Linked DNA regions of Lepisosteus oculatus. The protein of the gene in region 2 interacts with the protein of the main gene of each other region in a pairwise test. Links are inferred from orthologs where the notes say so. Each region holds a gene or a part of one and is shown on either strand. Other genes may lie near its edges.

Evidence for each region.
Region 1: the proteins of dnajb11 (region 2) and ubr1 interact in a two-hybrid assay, tested with the Homo sapiens proteins (2 studies listed by BioGRID and IntAct). The link is inferred for Lepisosteus oculatus from reciprocal best matches to the Homo sapiens genes DNAJB11 and UBR1.

What each region holds. Positions count from the first base shown.
Region 1 is NC_090703.1:18,757,448-18,761,200, reverse strand, and holds the start of ubr1 (E3 ubiquitin-protein ligase UBR1), read left to right. Parts: upstream 1-1,407; 5' UTR 1,408-1,517; coding exon 1,518-1,562; intron 1,563-3,753. UniProt on the Homo sapiens protein: E3 ubiquitin-protein ligase which is a component of the N-end rule pathway. Recognizes and binds proteins bearing specific N-terminal residues that are destabilizing according to the N-end rule, leading to their ubiquitination and subsequent degradation.
Region 2 is NC_090707.1:7,356,317-7,360,069, reverse strand, and holds the start of dnajb11 (dnaJ homolog subfamily B member 11), read left to right. Parts: upstream 1-847; 5' UTR 848-991; coding exon 992-1,065; intron 1,066-1,798; coding exon 1,799-1,955; intron 1,956-3,753. UniProt on the Homo sapiens protein: As a co-chaperone for HSPA5 it is required for proper folding, trafficking or degradation of proteins.

The sequences.
Region 1 (3,753 bases), on a different chromosome or scaffold from region 2:
CTTCTTGTCCCAATTCATCCAGCAAATGTTTAAGGGGGCTCAAGTCTGGCAAGTAGGACATTCAGAATTGCGCTATTAGTCATTGTGATCTCTGAAAGGCAATATTACCCCAGAAAAAGGAGTGTGTGTGTGTGTTGTCCTGCTGGCATGTCGCTGGATGGTTTGATAAAATTACCTCATCATTATGCTTTTCTGTGTCACAGTAGCTGATGTGCCACTTCTGGATTCCAACATATATTTAATGTTGGATGTTCACTTAATAAGCAACAAGTCTGGCAAGTGATGTATTCAATATGACCTTTGAGGCTTTAAATAATCTGGCTCCTTCATGCATCTCTGAATGGCTTTATGTTTACACTCCTTCTCATACAGTCTTTTCAGTCGAGATCTTTTGCTCACTAAACCCGGGACTTAATATCACACTTTTGGTGACAGTGCTTTTTCTTACTCCATTGTTATGGAATGTCATTTCTTGTCAAGAGACACATTCTCTGTCTGTTTCAAATCTAAGCGTAAAATGCACTACTAGGGCCTATGAATAATTTCCTTGGGTTTGGAAAGGTGCTTTGTAAATTAACGTTGTTGTTACATGTATTATTATTTTTATTACTGATTTTCACCAGGTGAATTTGAATTAATCAAAATGATTAAAAAATAATAACAATTGCTTACATTTATATAGCGCTTTTCTTTACACTCCACTGAAAGCGCTTTACAGGTAATGGGGACTCCCCTCCACCACCACCAATGTGCAGCCCCACCCTGGATGATGTGACAGCAGCCATAGTACACCAGAACACTCATCACACTCCAGCTATCAGTGGGAGGAGAACAGAGTGATGAAGCCAATTCATAGATGGGGAATATTAGGAGGCCAATGGGACATTTGGGGTAACACCCCTACTCTTTTTGAGAAACACCCTGGGATTTTTAATAACCATAGAGAGTCAGGACCTCAGTTTTACGTCTTATCCGAAGGACGGTGCCTTTTTACAGTATAGTGTCCCCGTCACTATACTTAGACATTAGGACTCACATAGACCGCAGGGTGAGCGCCCCACTAACACCTCTTCCAGCACCAACCTTAGTTTTTCACAGGAGGTCTCACATCCAGGTAGTGACCAGGCTCACACCTGCTTAGCTTCAATGGGTTGCCAGTTGTGAGTTGCAAGATGATATGGCTGCTGGCAGTAAGAAAATAAACATTTAATCAACATCCAAAATCAGTATACTTCATTTTTTTTAATGACAAACATGCACAGTAATAGGCTTCTTTCGGTACTCAATATAGTTTCAGTTGTAGTAAGGTGAGATTTATGAAGTCTGTACCTTTCTACTTTTCTATTCCAGTACATGTCTCTAGAGAGCCTTAGGAGTATTACAGGCACTGGTATGTGTGCATGTTGCGTACAACCATGCCGTGTAAAGACAGATACTGTCGCTTGCCACAATGTCGTAAAGCAGTTTTGGGACCTGTCTCACACGTTGTCCTGGTAACAGATTACGGCAGATGAAAGATGGCGGAAGGTGAAGAGACATTAACAAAACGAGAGCTCAGTATGGTGAGTATATTTAATTTTATTTTGGTAATTTTCTACGTTTACTTATTGCGTATATTTCTTTTCTTCGATTTGTATACTACTTCGATACTAGCTTTTTTCTTTTCTACAAATACTATTCTTCTTACCTGGGGTTGAATTTTGGTTAGATTTCTTGAAGGAATTATAGCAAACTGCTGCAATTTAATTTTTCTTTTAAGATCTCAGTACAGGATTGGAAACAATAGATGACAGTGGATATGTATTTAATTCACAATGCATTGCTTTTCAAATAAAAGTGCAAGAGTGACACTGCCTGATCTCACTAGTTTAAAATCGACCTGAATCTTGGGTTTTATTGGTTTTTCAAGAGACTCAACAAGAGCTGCTTGTAGTTAATAACATTGAATAATATGGTAGTGATACTTGAAAGATCAATAGTATTCTGTTTGGAAAGGGACGGAAGTTTGTGGTTAAGTACGCTCATAGAAGATCGACATTTTAAAAATGTATATAACTTTTATTGATTGTTTTTGTTATTCTGTGGATTATAAGAGGAAAAATAGCGTGTGACAGTATTGCAAGTGATATATTTCATTATCATACAATGGAATAAAAACGAAACAATAAAACAGAAAACTTGGCGCTATTCATAAGAAAAATATGACTTTTTTCTTCGTTTTTTTTAAGTAAGCAAATCTTAGTTAAATTTATTGGAAGCATCTCAACATCTTAGAACTAAAACTCGGAAATTATTGTAATCATGAATTGCATGTGCTTTAATTTTTAATACGTAAGTCCCACGTAGACTAGACTTGAGGACTACCAATTAAACACAGAGTTTCACTTTTACTTTGTTTATATCAGTATTGTTTTCTGGATAAATCCAGCTTTACAAGGAAGCACACTTTAAGGACACTTTCTCAGCGTTTCAAAACTGTTGTGAAACATCTTTGAAAACTGACAGTACAAAGGTGAATTTCTGTGACATTTGTAAAATCTAAAGACCTAAATACAGACATACAAAGTTAACTAAACTAAGATTGTTAGTAAATTACTGAATTTACTAAACAGCTTTTTGAACATCATAATTTAGGATATACCTGCAGTGTCTTGGAAAAGTATTCAAGCCCTTTCATTGGTGTTTGATTTTTACCTTTTCATTGATGAAATTACAAAATGATGCCTACCAATTTCTTAAACTTAATATTCAAGATAAAGTAATACAAACAATGAAATAATGCATAAATATTTAGACCCATGAACTTAATATTTGGTGTAAGCATCTTTGGTAGTAATCACAGCCACAAGTGGTTTTGGGTAAGTCTCTTCCAATTTAGCACACCAGCTTTGTGCAATTCCTGCCCATTCTTGGCAGATTTGCTTAAGTTGTCTCATGTTGCTTTTGGATTACTCACAGACAGCAGCCTTGCTATTGATTCCTATTGAGTCAAGAATTCTATCGAGACTTAGACTGGGCTACTCAATATAGGGAATACACTTTCTAATTGCCTTTTTGGCCTTCTACTTTGGTTAATTGTCCTGCTGAAAGATGAATTTTCATCCCAGTTTTATGTCTGAAGCAGGTTTTCCTGTAAGATTTGCCAGTTCTTTGCTCCATCTCAGTTCCTATCGGATAAACTTCACTGTTTCTCTTGATGAGAAGCTATAAGACGATGCTGCCACCATCATGCTTTGCAGTGGGGGTGTTTATTGAGTGGTTCACTATGGGTTTGTGTCAGATGTAACACTGCATTTAGACCTGAAAAGTCAAATTCTGTGTTATCTGACAATAAAACTATTTGTGACATGTTTGCATTACCAGTTAAATATTAAGTTGAAAGGTTCTTGTGGTTTTTTAGATGTTAGTATGTCAATTCCATTCAAGGGTTTGTGGAATAACTGGAATATTGTTAAACTATGGACATTTTCTATCAACTGTCTGGTTGCCTTCACTTCTTAATCAACTTCACCATGCTCAAAGACATATTAAGGGCATATGTAATTTGAAAGACATATCATTTATACCTTTCTTCTGATTAGTGCTTTTGTACAACTTTAGGAGTTGATAACTCCTGGTCTTGATGGTTGGATTTTTCCTTGAAATTCACCACATGACTGAGGTATATTACAGCGTGTATTTATTCTGAAATCATGTGAACAACTTTTACTGTACACAGACTGAGATCTAAGGTAATTTTGTATATCTAAATAA
Region 2 (3,753 bases):
CCCTCCGCGTCCCCATGGCAACAGCTCCAGCGAGGGCCCCGTCTCCCCGACCGACATACCTGGCGCTCCCTCGCCGCAACACAACAGACACGCAAGCTTCACCTTCCGCGGACCGGCCCCGCCGTCCCGCTGAGGGCTGGGGGCTGGGGGCTCCTCTGTAAGTCTTAGTACACTTATCTGGCGACCCCTGTGCCCCCACAGGTTAATACGAAAGGGGTTTCTGTCTCTGTCCTGCTTAAAACAGCCGGCCGCCTCTCTCTTGCTTTTGGCGCCGCCGCTTCCTCGGCCTCGTGAGCGCGCACGTCGTCAGCTGGAGCGCGGGCACGAGCAGGAGGCGCTGGCTCCAGTCCTGCTTCCTAAAAAATTCCCAGCGCATTAATTAACCATCCGGCCTGATTCCGACACCGACTGCTTTAATGTCAGACAACACACACCGCAAGGTCGAGTCTTCCAACAGCACGCTTGCGGGGAAATAAATCGTTATGTTTAAAATGTTATTTCTAAGCTCTCAGTACGGGATTTTATCCACAGAAGCTGAGGCAGAGCGTTCCGCTCACAAAACTCGGACCGATTTAAAGTGTTGTGAAATGGGAGTCAGATTTGCTTGTGTTTTTTTTTTTTTACCAAAAGACTATAACCGTAACAGGTATTTTCAGAAAATTAAACCCGGTGACAGCTTTTATATCCCCCACCCCATAACACACAAACAAAAACGAATAGCTTCTGCTCAGCAACTGATTTGAAAGTAAGGCGCCCTTTCTCAAGAGGGCGGCGTGCTCAGCTGCCCAAGCCCAGCGCGCCCCCTGCAGGCAGGCCGGGGAGGGGCGGGGCCTTCGCGGGGGCGGGCCTTCCGGGCGGAAGCGCCGCTGCCGAGCCTGCGGGAGAGAGGCAGAGTGACAGGAGGGCCGGAGCGCAGAGGGGGAGAGAGCCGGAGAGCGGGCTGAAGTGGACAAATACAAAAACTACATAAAAAAAAAAACTAAACATCCATATGGCTTCCAGGGTACTGAGTCTGAGCAGCGCCTGCTGTCTGCTGCTGTATTTCGCGGCGGCTGTGCTGGCAGGGTGAGTCAACCGAGGCGCTTTCAGCGGCGCTCATACCGGCTGGTACACATGTTGCGCTGTGATTGGTCTGCCGCGGCTCGGACCCTTCCGCCGGGCTGGGCGGCGATGGCAAGCCGCCGCTTGTGAATTGCGGGTTTTGAGGCTGTTGCACTTTTTAACAGGCTTGCTGGCGGCGTGTCCCCGTAGGGGAGCTGGTGTATGTTGCACTGGTGTTGCCTGGTCGCTATACACGCTTTGAAAGGGCTGGCGCAGGGTCCGATGTACGCACCTCCTTACCTAACACACCGGTCCGTGCCCTGTTACATACTGGGATGCATCAGCCCGTTTCTTTAAAACTATCTCGTCAGTTTTTTTTTCAAATATATATATTTTAAGTGGGTTGCAAAACTGTACGCAGACGTTTCCATGAATGCAACCGACTCGGGGTTCCCTCTCGTTCGGGGTTCATTCGCTCGTGGGTTCGGTTTCCTTTCGGCTGACTGGAGGGAACACCAGCCCCATTGCGTGTTTCATGTCCGTCCCCTGCATCTGGGAGGGATACTGTGGGAATCCTGGAGTGTCCCTTCTGACTGTAATAAAGACTTTCCTGTGCGCGCTCTCAGAGTCTCTTCACACTGGACCCCACAGTGCTCGTCCAACAGCCCCGAGGGGTACAGGGGGGAAATGGAGCTGTCTGTTTCCAGCTTGCGTGTAAGCAGCCCTCTCCGTGGCGCTGTCTGTTCCTCGGTTCCAGGCGGGATTTCTACAAGATTCTCGGGGTGTCCCGGTCGGCGTCCATCAAGGACATTAAGAAGGCGTACAGGAAACTGGCCCTGCAGCTGCACCCGGACCGGAACCCGGACGACCCCCAGGCGCAGGACAAGTTCCAGGACCTGGGCGCGGCGTACGAGGTGGGTGAGCCGGGCCCGACTGGAGCGCGGAGTCCTGCTGCTCCTCGGTGCCCCCAAGCGCAGTGGAAACCAGTGAGCTGGACCTGCAGGAGGCTGCTGCTGGGGCACAAGGGGATGACCTGGTTTGATTTTGACACGTCCCTAGAAGCGTCCCTAACATTCCCGACGAGTGAGCCGCAGGAGGCCAGCAGGGCTGCCCCTGTAACGCCAGGGCCTGGTAGCTCATGGATATCACCGGTACCAGGAGTGCGTGTGTTGCTTTGTAAGGTGTTGGCATCATTTCCTTGAGCAATACGACAAACAGTACACAAACAACAAGGACATCCCAGCACAGTACAAGTGCAGCTCCCACCCCCAGCTGTGAGCAGGTGTTTAATAGCCTCAGCTGGCTTCTCACCTGCACTCAGGCAGAAATCAGTCTGTGCTGCTCTTGCTGAAATATTCACAGCAGGATTGCTGCCCAGTACCACACCCTGCTGTAGCAGTACGTGCTGTGACTAAAGAAGTCAATGATATGAATGCTAGTATATCAACTTATAATAAACTTTATTTTATATAGCTCCTTTAAAGGTGGCTTCTCAAAGAGCTTTACAGAACAACAACAATGAAATAAAAATTACACAAGATTTGCACAATGAGATCACACAATGAGAGGAGACAGTAGATGGGGGTACTGAATACAGTAGGATCAGGGGGTAAAGAACAGAACCAGTCAAGGAAAGGTGTTTCTGAAGAAGGTGGCTTTGAGTCTGGATTTGAAGGAGTTTAGAGAAGGTGGCTCTCTGATATCCCTGGGGACTTCTGCGGCGTTACTGTAACCCTCCTCTCTGGCTGGGTGATGGAATCCTTCCTGCCCTACACTTGCACTGGGCCCCGTCCAGTGATTTCGATTATATCACTCGATCTCTTCTTTCACTGCCTTGTCTCCTGTGCTATAGAGTGTTTCGGTTCAGGTTGTCACTGGAAATGTCAACTGGCTCAACGGGTTAGACAAAGGTCGGTGATTGCCCAGCAGGTCTGTGGTGTTTGTGGGGCCTGTCAGTGATCCAGAGGCTGTAGTCACACCTGGACTGTTCTGATTGGCTCAGCTGTTTCCTTCCTGCTGTCTCTCTCCCTCAGAGAACGGGGGTGGGTGGGTGGGGGTGTGTGTGTCAGTATAGACCCCGGAGAGAAAGACAATCGCCTTACTGGCATCTGGGCTACAGTTGTGTAATATTATAGCACCTTGTGTCGTGGACTATGCTTTTGTACAACCCACAGTAACATTAAAAGGAAAATCTGGGTCATGATACCCAGCAAGCCCTGAGCCTGAAACTCAAGCAGGTGTTGTTGTTTATTAGCTCCTGGGCCTTTTTTGGCAAGACAGACCTAATTAAATTGTCTTCCGAAGAAAACGTATGTGTAATGTAATAGCGTCCCTTCTGTTAGACCTGTTTCCTGAATCTTCTCTCGTTCGGTCTCAGTTGTCTTTAGCAACGTGTTTCGGTTGCAGCAACGTAAAATTCAAAACGTCGATGGCTTTTTCCAGAATCGCGCTTGACTGGGGCACGGCAGCTCCGTACCGGCATTAATTAGGTGTGTTTTGATGACGTTATTAATTGCACCTGCCGCGATGTGGAAGAGCTCGGGGCTCAGAGAGCACGCTGCCTCTCGTGAGCCGCTGAGAGTTCCTTTGTTGTTGGAAACGGAGGCCCGTCCTGATTGGTGGACAAGCATGTGTGGCCGCATGTGATTGGTTGAGGGGTGAAGGGGTGAAAGTTGAATTAGCCAGCTGTTTTAACCACGCGGCTGTCTGAGA